2 linked regions of the Oryzias latipes genome follow. Each later gene encodes a partner of the first gene's protein in a complex. Links are inferred from orthologs where the notes say so. Each region holds a gene or a part of one and is shown on either strand. Other genes may lie near its edges.

Region 1 (5,819 bases):
GAAGCCCCATTAATCACCGAGGAGCTTTTCCAGCAGCAGACTCGGGTCTGTTTGCCGAGTGAAATCCGTTTGGGGCCTTTGTCTCTGGCAGAGCCGAGATAACTGCAGACGGGAGAAGCACCTCTGATCCCAGGCTTTCAGATCCCTCAAATCCCAGTTTAAACAAGACACTGGATCCAGTCCAGCAGGCAGAGACGGCACTGAACTCAGACACCTCCGGAGTCACATAGCACCGTGTGAGTCAGACAGTCAAAGCTCATATAGAGCAGGATTTACAAAAGTCCGACAGGGTGTCTTCATGTTTGAATTAAATAAGGGAAACACTTAAGTAAAATATAAATACTCAATTGTTTGTTGATGATGTGCTTTTATTCCCTTGTTTGTTTTTCATGATTTCTGATGCATTCAGCTCATCACAGCAGCAACTGGCTTGAATTTTGGAGAGCTCATGTCTTCATTCATTTCATTAAAGGCTGTATGTTGTTACCTCAAGTCTTTTCTAGTCGGTTTGAATAATTAAACAGCTCAGAATTCGCGGACATTTTAACTGAAAACCTATAATAGTTCCAAACTGTAAATGTTTTTATTGTTTATTTATATAGTCATCCATTGAGTAAATGAATACCTTTTTTTTCCACATTTTTAAAATGCATTTACAGAACAAAAGTGTATTTTTGTATTTTCTTGTTCTGTCCAAGTCCCATCTTTCTTTACAAATGTCATTTTCTGTTATTTCTTATAATTAAAAAATATAATAAATCAACAAAAGACTGAAAAGATTCTCTAAATTTGAATCTTTTGAGTTTGATCTCATCTTGTAATCTTAAATCTAATTAGATTATTGACAATTTCTTGGGAAAAAACCTTCTTGGAAAAGACAGTAAATCACAAGTCTTTATGGGATAAAATGTAGAAACTTCTTTTCTGTTGGGGATTATAGGTTTAAGTGCATAATTTTGGTATAAGCCATAAATTAAGCGATTATTTGGGTATTTCCTTAAATTAGTTGGTTCAGATCTGCTGCTCATCAGGAAAAGCTCAAGATTCCAGGAAATATCTGATATTTTTAAATGTTTTTCTTTTATTTTGTAGATCTCTTCGTGGCAAACTCCTGCTAACATGTCTGAGGATTTAAGATTTAAACTTAAACCTGTAATCCCTGGGAAGTCCTGTGCTTCACTGTCTTTTCCACGTTTTCCTTCTTCTTTTTTTTAACAAATAAAAAAAGTCTCAAATAATTGAATTCATTATTAAAGGTAAATTTAAAAACTATGGGACCAAAAAATTCAGCTCAGATCAGATTTTAATGGACCTTTAGATTTACTTTACTTTTATGGAGTCCTCCTTCTATATATATATGAATTTGAGCTTCATGTGCACTAAGATTTACTTAACTACTTTACGATTTACTATACTCTTAGATCACGAGTGGGTCGGTCGCTGGTGCGGACAGATTCCTAGAATATAATTTCTTCACAACTGCATCCAGGCTGGTTTCTGTTTCTAATACGTTTTAACCTTTTCTATGGGTCCTTTTGGCTTTCATTATGTTGGGTGCTGGGAGCATTATGTATTTTTTTATAATTTTATTTTTAATTTCATGCCTGTGAAGCACTTTGCGTTAGTATGTAAAGTGCTTTAATGTACAGATACAGTTTGATTTGATTCTTGCTGTAAAAGTTGTTAATTCAAGTCACACTCTGATCAACATTTGATTCCTTTTGCTTCCAGTGGTTTTTTAATTACCACTTTGCTGGTTTTAATCAAAATCGTGTTGTTTTCTAGGACATAGTTTCTGCAGAGTGTCTGTAGTTTATTAGCAAATCACCTCTGAGTTGGGGGCGGGACTGTTGGCGAGGAGTAAGCCTGTGCTCATGTCCCATCATCCCTTTGTTTACATTCTCTCCCGCGAGCCCATCACCAACCCCAACCCAACCAGTGCGACAAAAATGGCAAGTATTATTGGAGCTATCCAGACGTACAGTTTTAGGCCAGATTCCAGCTCGGACGAGGAAAACGAAGGATCTATTTGTTTGCAAGTGGATGCATCAGAATGCAGTGAAGCAGGGAGCTTTAGACCAACTGATTATAGTATTTATGTAACAACTACAAGCTTTTTCAAAGGACATCTTTATCATCTGCTTCTGAGTCAGCACAAAATGGATAAAGAAATACTTGCAACAAGTTTTCTTTAAATAAACTGTAATCCTAGTAAGATTACTCAAAGGTCTAAAATCTTAGTTGTGCTTGAAAGCTAAACACCTGACTTTAAGAAACTGTGACTTACAGATCAACCTTCAGACAGGGTTTGAGGAGAATCTGAAGGATCCAGAACTTTGAAGAGTCTTGTGTTGTCTTGTCTTCCTCTTTGCTCACCTCCTTCCTGGTTGACTGAAGTTATGCAGCGATTCACGGCTGCAGATTCCCACACTTCCTCACATTTTGCAGAGAGTAAACCAACATAACAAGCACCTCACTCTTTCATTGCCTTTATTGATCTATTTGTGAAATCAGACAAATCCACAGGAGACGTTGCAGCAGAGCTACGACGGCCCGGCTGTGAAAGCCCAACTGCGCATCGTGAGGATCCTGCGTCACGAAGACAGACAGTCTAAAAAGTCCGAAGAAGTCCAACGCCGCTGTGACCACTAAAGCAAGAGTCTGGGGGAGGAGACTAGCAGAGGAGGTAAGAAGACATGCAGTGTACGGCTGCTGACGCGCCTTGACGAGCACCCTCCCATCAGTCTGTCCATGTCAGCGGCTCTGTGTGCTGGTGGTTTCCATGGTGATGGTCTTTCACCGACAGACGCCCTGACGAGACGTCCTCCTCATAAACCCAGAGACCTGCGGACGATCTTCTGAGCCAGTTTGTTGAACTGCTCTCTGTCCTCGCGCCACATTTTCGAGGCATCGACGTTGGCGCCGCTCTCATCGTTGGGCTCTGAGGACGACAGGTTGAATCTGTGAATGGCGCCGAGTCCCTGCTGGTGTCAGACGCAAACGAGTTCCATACCTGCCAGCATGCTGACCACGGAGAGCAGGATCTTCTCCACGCTCTGGACTGGACTCCACCTTTCGGCGCTGCTCTCGTAACCCATGGGATCGTCACCCGGGGCGTGGAGGATAGAGATGCACACCCGTCCGTCGGGATAGACTGGGGCGGGGGAGGAGAACGCTTTAGTTCACCGGTTCTAGCTTCTCTGAACTCTTAGCAACTTTTTTTTTAAACTGCTAAATGGGATTATATTTCATTTCGTATCGTCTTTTATTTTTTTACACTCTCTCCCGTTAGCTTACAGCCCCTCACAACCCCAAGCTGAGAGGTGCAACAAATATGGTGAAAAATGTTGGATGTTTCCCGCCGAACAGTTTTAAGGACGTTCATGGATCTAGTCGTCCAGAAGTGTGTGCATTGGAAGAGAGTGGAGCAGTGAGACTTTAGCCTGCCCCTTGGAGTTTCTACATCACAACTGAGAGCGTTTTTGTTTTGTCATCTGCTCCTGATTTACCATGATTTAAATTAATAAATACTAAGAAAGGCAGTTACAAGCTTCGATGCTCTATGTCCTCTATCACAAGAAAAATGCAACAAAAACATTTTAAAAACACCAAAACCACATATTCTATTGGAGTGGGTCTTTAATCTGATCCTGTTTGGACCCCCTCCCCGTGCAGGGGGTTTCAGGGCGCTGCCGCTCGGTCCAGCTGCAGGAAATCTCCTCTGAAAACCGAGCCGCTGTTATCGGCAGCTTCCGTTTCATCTTTAACAGTTGCAGCGTGGAGTTCGGCTCAGGGCCATGCTGGTGAAGATGAGCGACAAGCACTTCGTCTTCTCATCAGCACTGAGCGCGCTCAGAGCGCTCGTGTCCTGACATCACGGCTTCGGCCCCACTAATCAGAGAGCGGTAAAAACACGCCAACAGCAACAAGCTCTGGAGCGTGCCGAGACAAGTCTGCAGACGGGCTAAGACACAAGACGTGTGTGTGAGTGGAGGTGTGTGTGTGTGTGTGCGTGTGTGAGTGTAGGGGTGTGTGTGTGCGTGTGTGAGTGGAGGTTTTAAGATCCAAATTTCAGTTTTCCTGAGTCATCAAGAAGATGAAATCAAACGTTGCTCCATCACAGATACTTAAAGCGGTCGCAGGTTTGTGCGCTCAACATCTGTTGCCATGGTGACGAAAGCAGGCACAAAGCCGTGGGCGGACTCACTGTTGGGGTGAAACATGTCACAGGTGAACCTCATCTTGGGAGGACTGAGAGGATAATCGGAGGGGAAGCTGAGGACAGCGGGGAACACTCCGCCTTCGAAACACGTGTCTTCGGGGCCCCTGAAACACAAACGCACATGCGGCGGTGAGAGCCTCACAACGCCAAACACCAAGAAAACGCAACAACGACACTGGAGGCTAACCCATCGCCTGGAGAAGCTTCAAACTCCGTGAAACACCAGAGAGCGAGGACTTGTGGAGAGGATCCTACAGACCTTGTAGTTGGATCCTCCTGCTGCTACTGTATTCCTCATGGCGTAATAAAAACGAACAGCAAGAAAATCAGCAACAAGTCTCAGAAGACCGTGTTGGGATAAAATAGAGTCTCCACTATTTTCTGGTCTTTGTTGTGGAAATGTTGAGAGCTTTTCTCCACCAGCTGATCTTTCAGGGTATGTCTAGACTAGGAAAATCCTTTGTTCCGGATCGAGTCCTGAACCCTGCGTTTGGTCTGTATTCAGACTGGCATCAAGCGGACCATTCTGCTCCGGACCAAAGCTTTGGTACGGCAGAGGCACGCTGCAAGGCAGGTCACTGGCAAGGAGGCGTGGCGCGCGAGGATATTAGCAACTGCAGTGATGAGGAGACGTCGGGTATGAAGTGATTTTGACATATGGTTTGTTGGGAAAACAGTGAGAAGCAAAGTGGATCACATTAAATGATGAGCCTGCATTCATCCGACCACATTTCAATGAGTTGCTGTGTCTCATCGTTGTGGTTTTATGTCAGATTTTTAAGAGAATTCTGTTTCGGGAAACAGAATGAAGCATGCAAGAAAAGCATGGAAGAAGTGATCTTCGCCTGTGTTACAGCATACGTTCTGACAAATAAACAGTTGGACCTTTTTTTCTGTTTGATGACACGGCAATCGTTGCTTCATATTTGTCCACAGCTCATCCGTTGCTTCAGTCCTACTCTGTTTACGTCGGCTACGGTGGCCGTTTTGGTCCTGTTGTTGTGCTTTGGGAATGGATTGTATTTAGACTGAGTGTGAACCGGAGCTCAGTCTGATTGGAAATGGACCGAGACCACCTCGTCAGATGGGTCCGAGAGTGGTTCCTGGTCCCGGACCAGAGTCCTCTATGATGCATTCATACTGATAATTGGGGTAAATGAACTCTGGTTTACTTAAGGCGAACCAAAACAAATGTGTCCGGTCTGAATACAACCTTAGACGGACTAAATGATGTTGGTCTTTTCTGTCCTTCATTACCATCAGTTTTTCATTTTTGACTCATAGCTCAGTGGTTGTTTCATGGCTCAGAGGACCCGAGTTGGAATCCGTGTGTCCTCCAAAGTGTCTGTGGAAAGATGTCCTTCAGGATAGGCTGGCAGTCAGACTTCAGGTATCCGAGGTTAAAGAAGACAGTTCAAGTCTGAAGGCCAGATTAATGACACGTTGACTGTACAGGTTGTTGGTGCCGGAAGCGGTGAGATCCGGTTTCAGGTGACATGGAGAGAGAGGTTTGGAGAAGCTCTCCTGAAGATCAGTGGAAGAGCAAACCGCTGCTGCGTTTAATCTGCACCCGTTTGCGTTCACCAAAGTGGAAGTA
Region 2 (6,465 bases), on another chromosome or scaffold:
ATTATACTTGGTCTTAAAAACCTCAGAGATACTCTGTCTGCTCAGATAGTCTCCCTGGATGGCATAAGTATAGCCCCCAATTCCACAGTTAGAAACCTTGGGGTTTTACTTGACCAGGATTTATCATTTAAGGCTCACATATCTCAGGCGTGCAGAACTGCCTTTTTTCACCTGCGGAATATTGCTAAGATCAGAAATATACTTTCTAAGAGTGATGCTGAAAAATTCATCCATGCATTTGTTACGTCGAGGCTGGATTACTGTAACTCCTTGTTAGCAGCGTGTCCTAAGAGTTCCTTAAGAAGTCTCCAGCTTGTTCAGAACGCAGCAGCTAGATTGTTAGCTGGAACTAGCAGAAGAGATCACATCACTCCTGTGTTAGTTTCGCTCCATTGGCTCCCAGTTGATTCCAGAATCAAGTTCAAGATCCTCCTGTTAACCTATAAGGCCTTACATGGAATGGCCCCGTCCTATATTAAGGACCTCATAGTCCCTTACCATCCAATCAGAACACTTCGCTCGCAAAATGCAGGACTGCTTGTGGTTCCTAGAATTAGTAAAAGTACGGTTGGAGGTAGAGCGTTTAGCCACCAAGCCCCTGTCTTATGGAATAAACTCCCAGCTCATGTAAGAGAGGCCGATTCAGTTTCTACATTCAAAGTTAGACTGAAAACATTCCTCTTTGGACAGGCTTATTGTCAGACTAGTTAGTATTCAGAGATTATTTAACTTAATGTTAATTTGTTTAAATTAAACTTAATAACTATTTATTTTTAAAGGCTGCTAGAAGTTGAAGCTGGGGTAACTATGGTGCACTGGGGTTCTGTCCTCTTTCCTTTTTTACTTCTACCCTTCCTCTCCTCTATTCTTGATCATAATTTATCATTTAGTTCTCCATGCCTCTGTTTGGTGCCGTGCGATTCATGTATTGTCCCTCTTTTCCTCTCCCCTCCTGGGGAGTGGGAGTGCTTCCAGATTCCAGTTGGTTCATCCGTGCTCCAGTTCCTGACCGTTTACCTCGCCTTCGCTCCTGCTCCTACACCTGGCTGTGGATCCTGTCTCCGGCTCCCCTGACTGTCCCCACAACCACGGCTGGATGAAGCTCGTCTGCTGGACTTTTATATATGTAGTTGTAGATTTTGATAAGTTAATTCTTCTCTAAGATTTCTGGTAAATCGCCTGTCCGTCCTGGGGGAGGATCCCTCCTTCATGTGGGCACCCCTGAGGTTTCTTCGTTTTTTCCGGAATCCGTTTTTTTTGGGAGTTTTTCCTTACCGCGAAGGGGGGTCTAAGGGCAGGGATGCCAGTATAGCTTAGTAAGTTTGTTAGTTCATTTTAGTATTTTCCTATTGAACTCTTTGTATTCGTGATCCTTTTGAGTTCATGTTTTACTTCGAAGCCCATCGAGACGACTGTTGTTGTGATTTTGGGCTATACAAATAAAATTGAATTGAATTGAATTGAATTGAACTTGGCAGGCATCAAGAATGAATCCAGACGTTTTCAAAAATAAAACTTCCTTCAGAACCAGATTATAAGTAAAATGGAAAAAATGTAGGTCACGTTTTTTTCCCCTCTGCAGCCCGTTACCAACTGTCCCATGGACCGGTACCGGTCTGCACCTCGGCGGTTAGTGACCACTGATCTATACAACTCGTTTTTACTTTCATAGCTAATCTGATACAACTGGATATGACCAACATGACTGGATCTGTGACGTCAGTGAAAACACTCTCTACACCAAAGAATTGGCCTCATCTTGAAATCTGGGATTTTTTTCTTCTTCCCTTTTCTTTTCAAATTGTATGAGCTTACCTCCTGGACTTTGTTGGCAAATTCCTGTGCAGACTCGCCGTCTTGTCTGGAAACCGGTGGGAGCCAACTGGAAAGACAAATTAAAAAATTCAAACTGTAAATAATCCAATTACTTTCTTGTTGTAAAGAAAAAAAAACTCTGAAGTTTCACATGAATCTAAAATTATAAAATGGCAGAAATAAAGACACAAATGAGTTAGTACCTTACATGATACACTGTACATGGAACAAAAAAGGTCCATAAGAGCTCCACCAGCCAACTGGACTCTGCTGTGTTCTGTGGAGGAAAAAACCACGACGGTTCATGGAGCTCAGCTCTCCGAACTATCCCACAAATGCAGGAATTCAGAAATTATGGTAATCTAGAAAAACACAGGCGACACTAAACGATTTCCAGTAAATTCCAGGACGATTCACCGATTTTCTTTTTAACCAATATTCCACAACTGGATCACTTTCTTTAAAAATGTATTCCTATTTGATTGCTTGAAATAAACCATTAAAAAAAAAGGACTATCTGTACATTTTGTTCCAACGTTTGATTATTTTTTGCTACACAAACATCAAAAATCATCTAAAAAGCATATAGGAATGTCCTTAAAGTCAATTGATCTCCATCTTTTTAGCGTTCACATCTTATCATTTTATAGAACAGTGATTAATTGTCTGATCTTCTTTGGTTGCTTTTTTTCCCTTTTGATAGTTAAGTTATTCTGTGGCCTTTGTGAGATTTTCTTGATTCTAAGAAGAGAACCAACACCTGAGCATACATGTATCTAATAAGACGACCAACATATCTAGACAGAAGATCTTACCAGGGACACCAGTGGCCTGGTCACCCGTAAGGCCGCAGGTTGGACAGACTCCGTCAGTGAGAAAGGCAAAGAACTGAAAGACAAAACCAATGTCAAAATATAAAATGTAATCTTTTGTTTGTTATCTGGTTCTTCAACGTAAACACAGCGTCCTAAACATTTGGATGCTGACAGCTTTTCCTCTTTACATCCCCACAATAAAGCTGCAGTGAAGCAAATTCATTGGGACTCGTGTGTTTGGTCTCTACATTGTTCTTTGGGCTTTTCTTCTTTTGTTGCACTGCCATCACTTCCTCTTCGTGAATGTTCAAGAACAGGTAACACACACAACACACTGGAACACAACAGCAGCGTCTTAAATTATAACGATGCTCTCATTAAAGTGAAAGTCTGAGATGTTTTTATACTTGTTCCCCTTCTTTTAAATGCGCTAGGATGTTTAATCAAATGCTTTTGTGTCAAAAAGATGATTTATATAATTTTATTTTAATTTTAAAAAAACAGAAAAATTCCAACTTTCTTACATTTTTCTCTGTTTTCTTGTAGAGTAGAATATTTTTTATGGTCATCAACTATGAATCAAGGCAACACTTTTAAACAGCTGCCTTACAGTATTATACCGCACTGCTTTCCCCAGAGGCGTAAGAATCATGAAGTCATGAATACAGTAAAACCAGAAGCAGCTTGAGAACAAAAGCAGTTTCAATATCCAGAAGAAATTCAGTCTAATATCAAATAAACTCTAAAGTCGTGTTAATTAGAGTAACAGGATTTATCCTGCCTTTAATAATCTTAATAGTCACTTTTCAAATATTTGTGGGATCAAAGATTCCCCTCAGATGAACAAATGACCGCCCGCCCGCCCACCTCGCCCGCCCGCCCCCCCGCCCGTCCGTCCGTCTGCCTGTCCGCCGGTCATTAACTGGGCTTGTTTAGCTATAAACAGCAAAATAGATTCAGAGCAGCTGAAAACAAAAACATGGTCGTCAGCATCTAACAGAACTTGAGCCTCTTAATAATCCTCTGTGTTTAACAGAAAACCTCAAAAAAATTTGTTCTTTTCCCCACAAACTGGAAGTGAAGCACACCACCTAATTTGAACACATTTGTAATGAAAATGTTACAGTAATGTTGTGTTTTCTACAAATCTTGTATCCTATTTTTTGTCTCGTCTGAAAATCAGAACAACCTGGCAGCCTTTATTTAGCTCGGCTTCTAATGAATTTTATTATGATGTCTTATGAGTATACATAATTATTAATTATTCATTTTAATATTCATAACATGTGCATCTATCCCCAGAGGAGGAGGTCCCAAAAATGAGCATTTCCACTTACCAAATGTATTCCACACTCAGCCCAATGTTTACCTAGATTGATTAAAAGGATTTCTATTTTTATTTATTATTATTATTATTTTGGTGTACAGTATGATTAGCTCTATATAAAAAAATGCTTGACTTGTTTTTTTTAACGCAGAACAAACAAGCAGCAGCTTCAAACTGTAGGATAATTATGTGCAGAAACCGAACGTCTGAACTCTGGTTTCACTGAAAATCTGTGATCATTTCGAGGTTCTCCAAACTAAAGAACAAATGAATCAAGCTCTGCCGCTATTCTCAATTCTTCACCTTCATATTTGTATTATCCTGAATAAAAAAGATTAAAAAAAACAACTAAACATAGATAGAAAACTACGCATGGAAATATAATGACACATAGAAAAAAAGTGTTTCTGTCCTGATTATTATAGTTATCTGCTGAAATTCAAAGCAGCACTTCAAACAAAAACAACAAATTAGCTGAGCAAGCAGGAAAGCTTTCTGCACATAATCTCTTTAGATTCAGAGTCTGTGCATCTACAGATGGAGGTTGTTTTCAAACAGAATGGGATGTGCAGGTTTAAAAGTCCAGATTAATGCATTTAACTCCACATTCAAAGAAGGCTTTTTGATCATAACAAGAAATGCTGAGGGTACTATTGCTTTATCTAGAGGACAACAAGGCTGGCACAAACCTGAACTTCAGGAGACCAGCACGTCCGTTGGTGGTGTCCTCTTCAGGAAACAGCAGCAACGGCTGGGTGCCCTCAGTGGAGCAGTATCTCTGAAGAGACTCTCCAATCGCTGCCCGGCCAGATGCAGAATGGACTTCCATGAAGCCTCTGGCCCAGCACACAAAGCCCGTGGAGCCTTCTAACTGCGGCTGAAAAGCATGAAAAAAGCACAAAGACGGTATTTACTGTTCTATATTGAAAAGGTGCAGTTACAGAAACACTTGAAGCAAGAAAAATGTAAAAACTTTATACACAGGTGAAAATATATGATGTTTTTTGCAGACATCTACTCCACTAATAGCATACCCTGACATCCACAGTCATTTTTGGAGAAGAAAACGGGATTTCAGTTCTTTTAAATGTGTGTTTCGTACAATAATGTGCAAATTTCAAAACTTAAGCAACGCTGTTGACACATAAACTGACAAATGAATAAAAGTCTTCAAACTTTGTTAACAACAACCTGATTTCCCACTGAAGAACTGCTCAAATGTGTATAACTGTACAATTGTGAGCACTTACTGTATTGCATGGGGTCAGGAGGTTGAATATGTTGTGGTCAAACTCTGTTACGTGATTGCATATGTACAACTTGATGTTTCTGTCTCTGGACCGAGGGTTTTTCTGTCTCACATGCATCCCCAGGACTGAGCACATGACCCTCACAATAAATCTGAAAGGAAACAATATTTCACTGAAAACAGCCGAAAGTACAAAGAAAAATCAGAATTTGGCACGTAGTCTTGATTAAAACCAATAGGTGGCTTCATCCATCTGCAGAGCAGATTGGTAACTAACTCTGGGGTGTATTCCAGAAAGCATGTTTAAACTACCATGACTTTAATGACCGGATATGAGTTAGCGTAATTACGCCCTGGGTTAATGCAAGTGCACGGCAAGTACATAAAGACATTCTCAATGGATCGCCGATTTCCGGAGTCACCATGGAAACGCGTGGTGAAAAAAAGAGAGCGCTATACTTCAGTGAGACGGAGTCTGAGATTTTAATGACGGCGTATGAAGATTATAAACCCGTCAAAAGAGTAATCCAGACGAATCAGAAAATGAAAGAGTTTATGCTTGGAGAAAAATAACGGACAGAGTAAACACATCAGTTTCTATCTTATTTCTATCTTCATTATGATGCATATATATATATATATATATATATATATATATATATATATATATATATATATATATATATATATATATATATATATATATATATATATATATAAAACTTAAATGAATTACTTCAATTAATAGCAAGTAATCGAGTTAAATTTATTCAACCTAATTTCTTCGTCTGTTTCTGTTTCAAAACAAACTAACCTTCAACTAAACCTATTCCAGACCAGGTTATGGTCAGAGCATGAGTTGCTATGGCAACTAATCATGCCCTGAAACATACCTCTGTTTTTGGAACCGAAAGCTGAGGTTATCCTCTTCCTTAACCCTTTAACTTACCGTGGTAACTCAAATAACCTGCTTTTTGGAATACCGCCCTTATGTCTGTGTTCTAAATATGTGAGCAACTAATAATAATGATATTTTCATATTATTACAAAACAACTAATTATGTCACATGTATCAGGAAGACATTTTTAAATAATTATGAAATACAAAGTAACGGTTTTGCTTTTTAGTACAATATTTGTCTAAATTTGCACTTACATTTGCTTGGGAATAACTAGAAATGCGGCTTATTTTGTTTATGACTTAAATGTAATTTAGCTATGCAAGACCACTGCCCTTTACTACAAAAGAAATGGGCATA

Evidence for each region.
Region 2: the proteins of ube2g2 (region 1) and aup1 are in contact, whole or in part, in a crystal structure (PDB 7LEW), measured with the Homo sapiens proteins. The link is inferred for Oryzias latipes from reciprocal best matches to the Homo sapiens genes UBE2G2 and AUP1. Residues at the interface, in NP_003334.2 of Homo sapiens: Tyr13, Thr17, Pro20, Gly23, Ile24, Val25, Ala26, Gly27, Pro28, Met29, Asn30, Glu31, Glu38, Leu40, Met42, Glu45, Glu50, Phe51, Val53, Pro55, Lys156, Val159, Gln160, Ser162, Leu163, Leu165; in NP_853553.1 of Homo sapiens: Ser379, Arg382, Gln383, Leu386, Arg389, Lys390, Leu393, Tyr394, Tyr396, Ala397, Arg398, Arg400, Phe401, Thr402.

What each region holds. Positions count from the first base shown.
Region 1 is NC_019879.2:26,799,134-26,804,952, forward strand, and holds the end of ube2g2 (ubiquitin-conjugating enzyme E2 G2), read right to left. Parts: intron 4,327-5,819; coding exon 4,208-4,326; intron 3,155-4,207; coding exon 3,014-3,154; intron 2,942-3,013; coding exon 2,829-2,941; 3' UTR 2,474-2,828; downstream 1-2,473. UniProt on the Homo sapiens protein: Accepts ubiquitin from the E1 complex and catalyzes its covalent attachment to other proteins. In vitro catalyzes 'Lys-48'-linked polyubiquitination. Involved in endoplasmic reticulum-associated degradation (ERAD).
Region 2 is NC_019868.2:26,073,908-26,080,372, forward strand, and holds part of aup1 (ancient ubiquitous protein 1), read right to left. Parts: intron 5,359-6,465; coding exon 5,208-5,358; intron 4,835-5,207; coding exon 4,647-4,834; intron 2,704-4,646; coding exon 2,631-2,703; intron 2,093-2,630; coding exon 2,019-2,092; intron 1,883-2,018; coding exon 1,816-1,882; intron 1-1,815. UniProt on the Homo sapiens protein: Plays a role in the translocation of terminally misfolded proteins from the endoplasmic reticulum lumen to the cytoplasm and their degradation by the proteasome. Plays a role in lipid droplet formation. Induces lipid droplet clustering.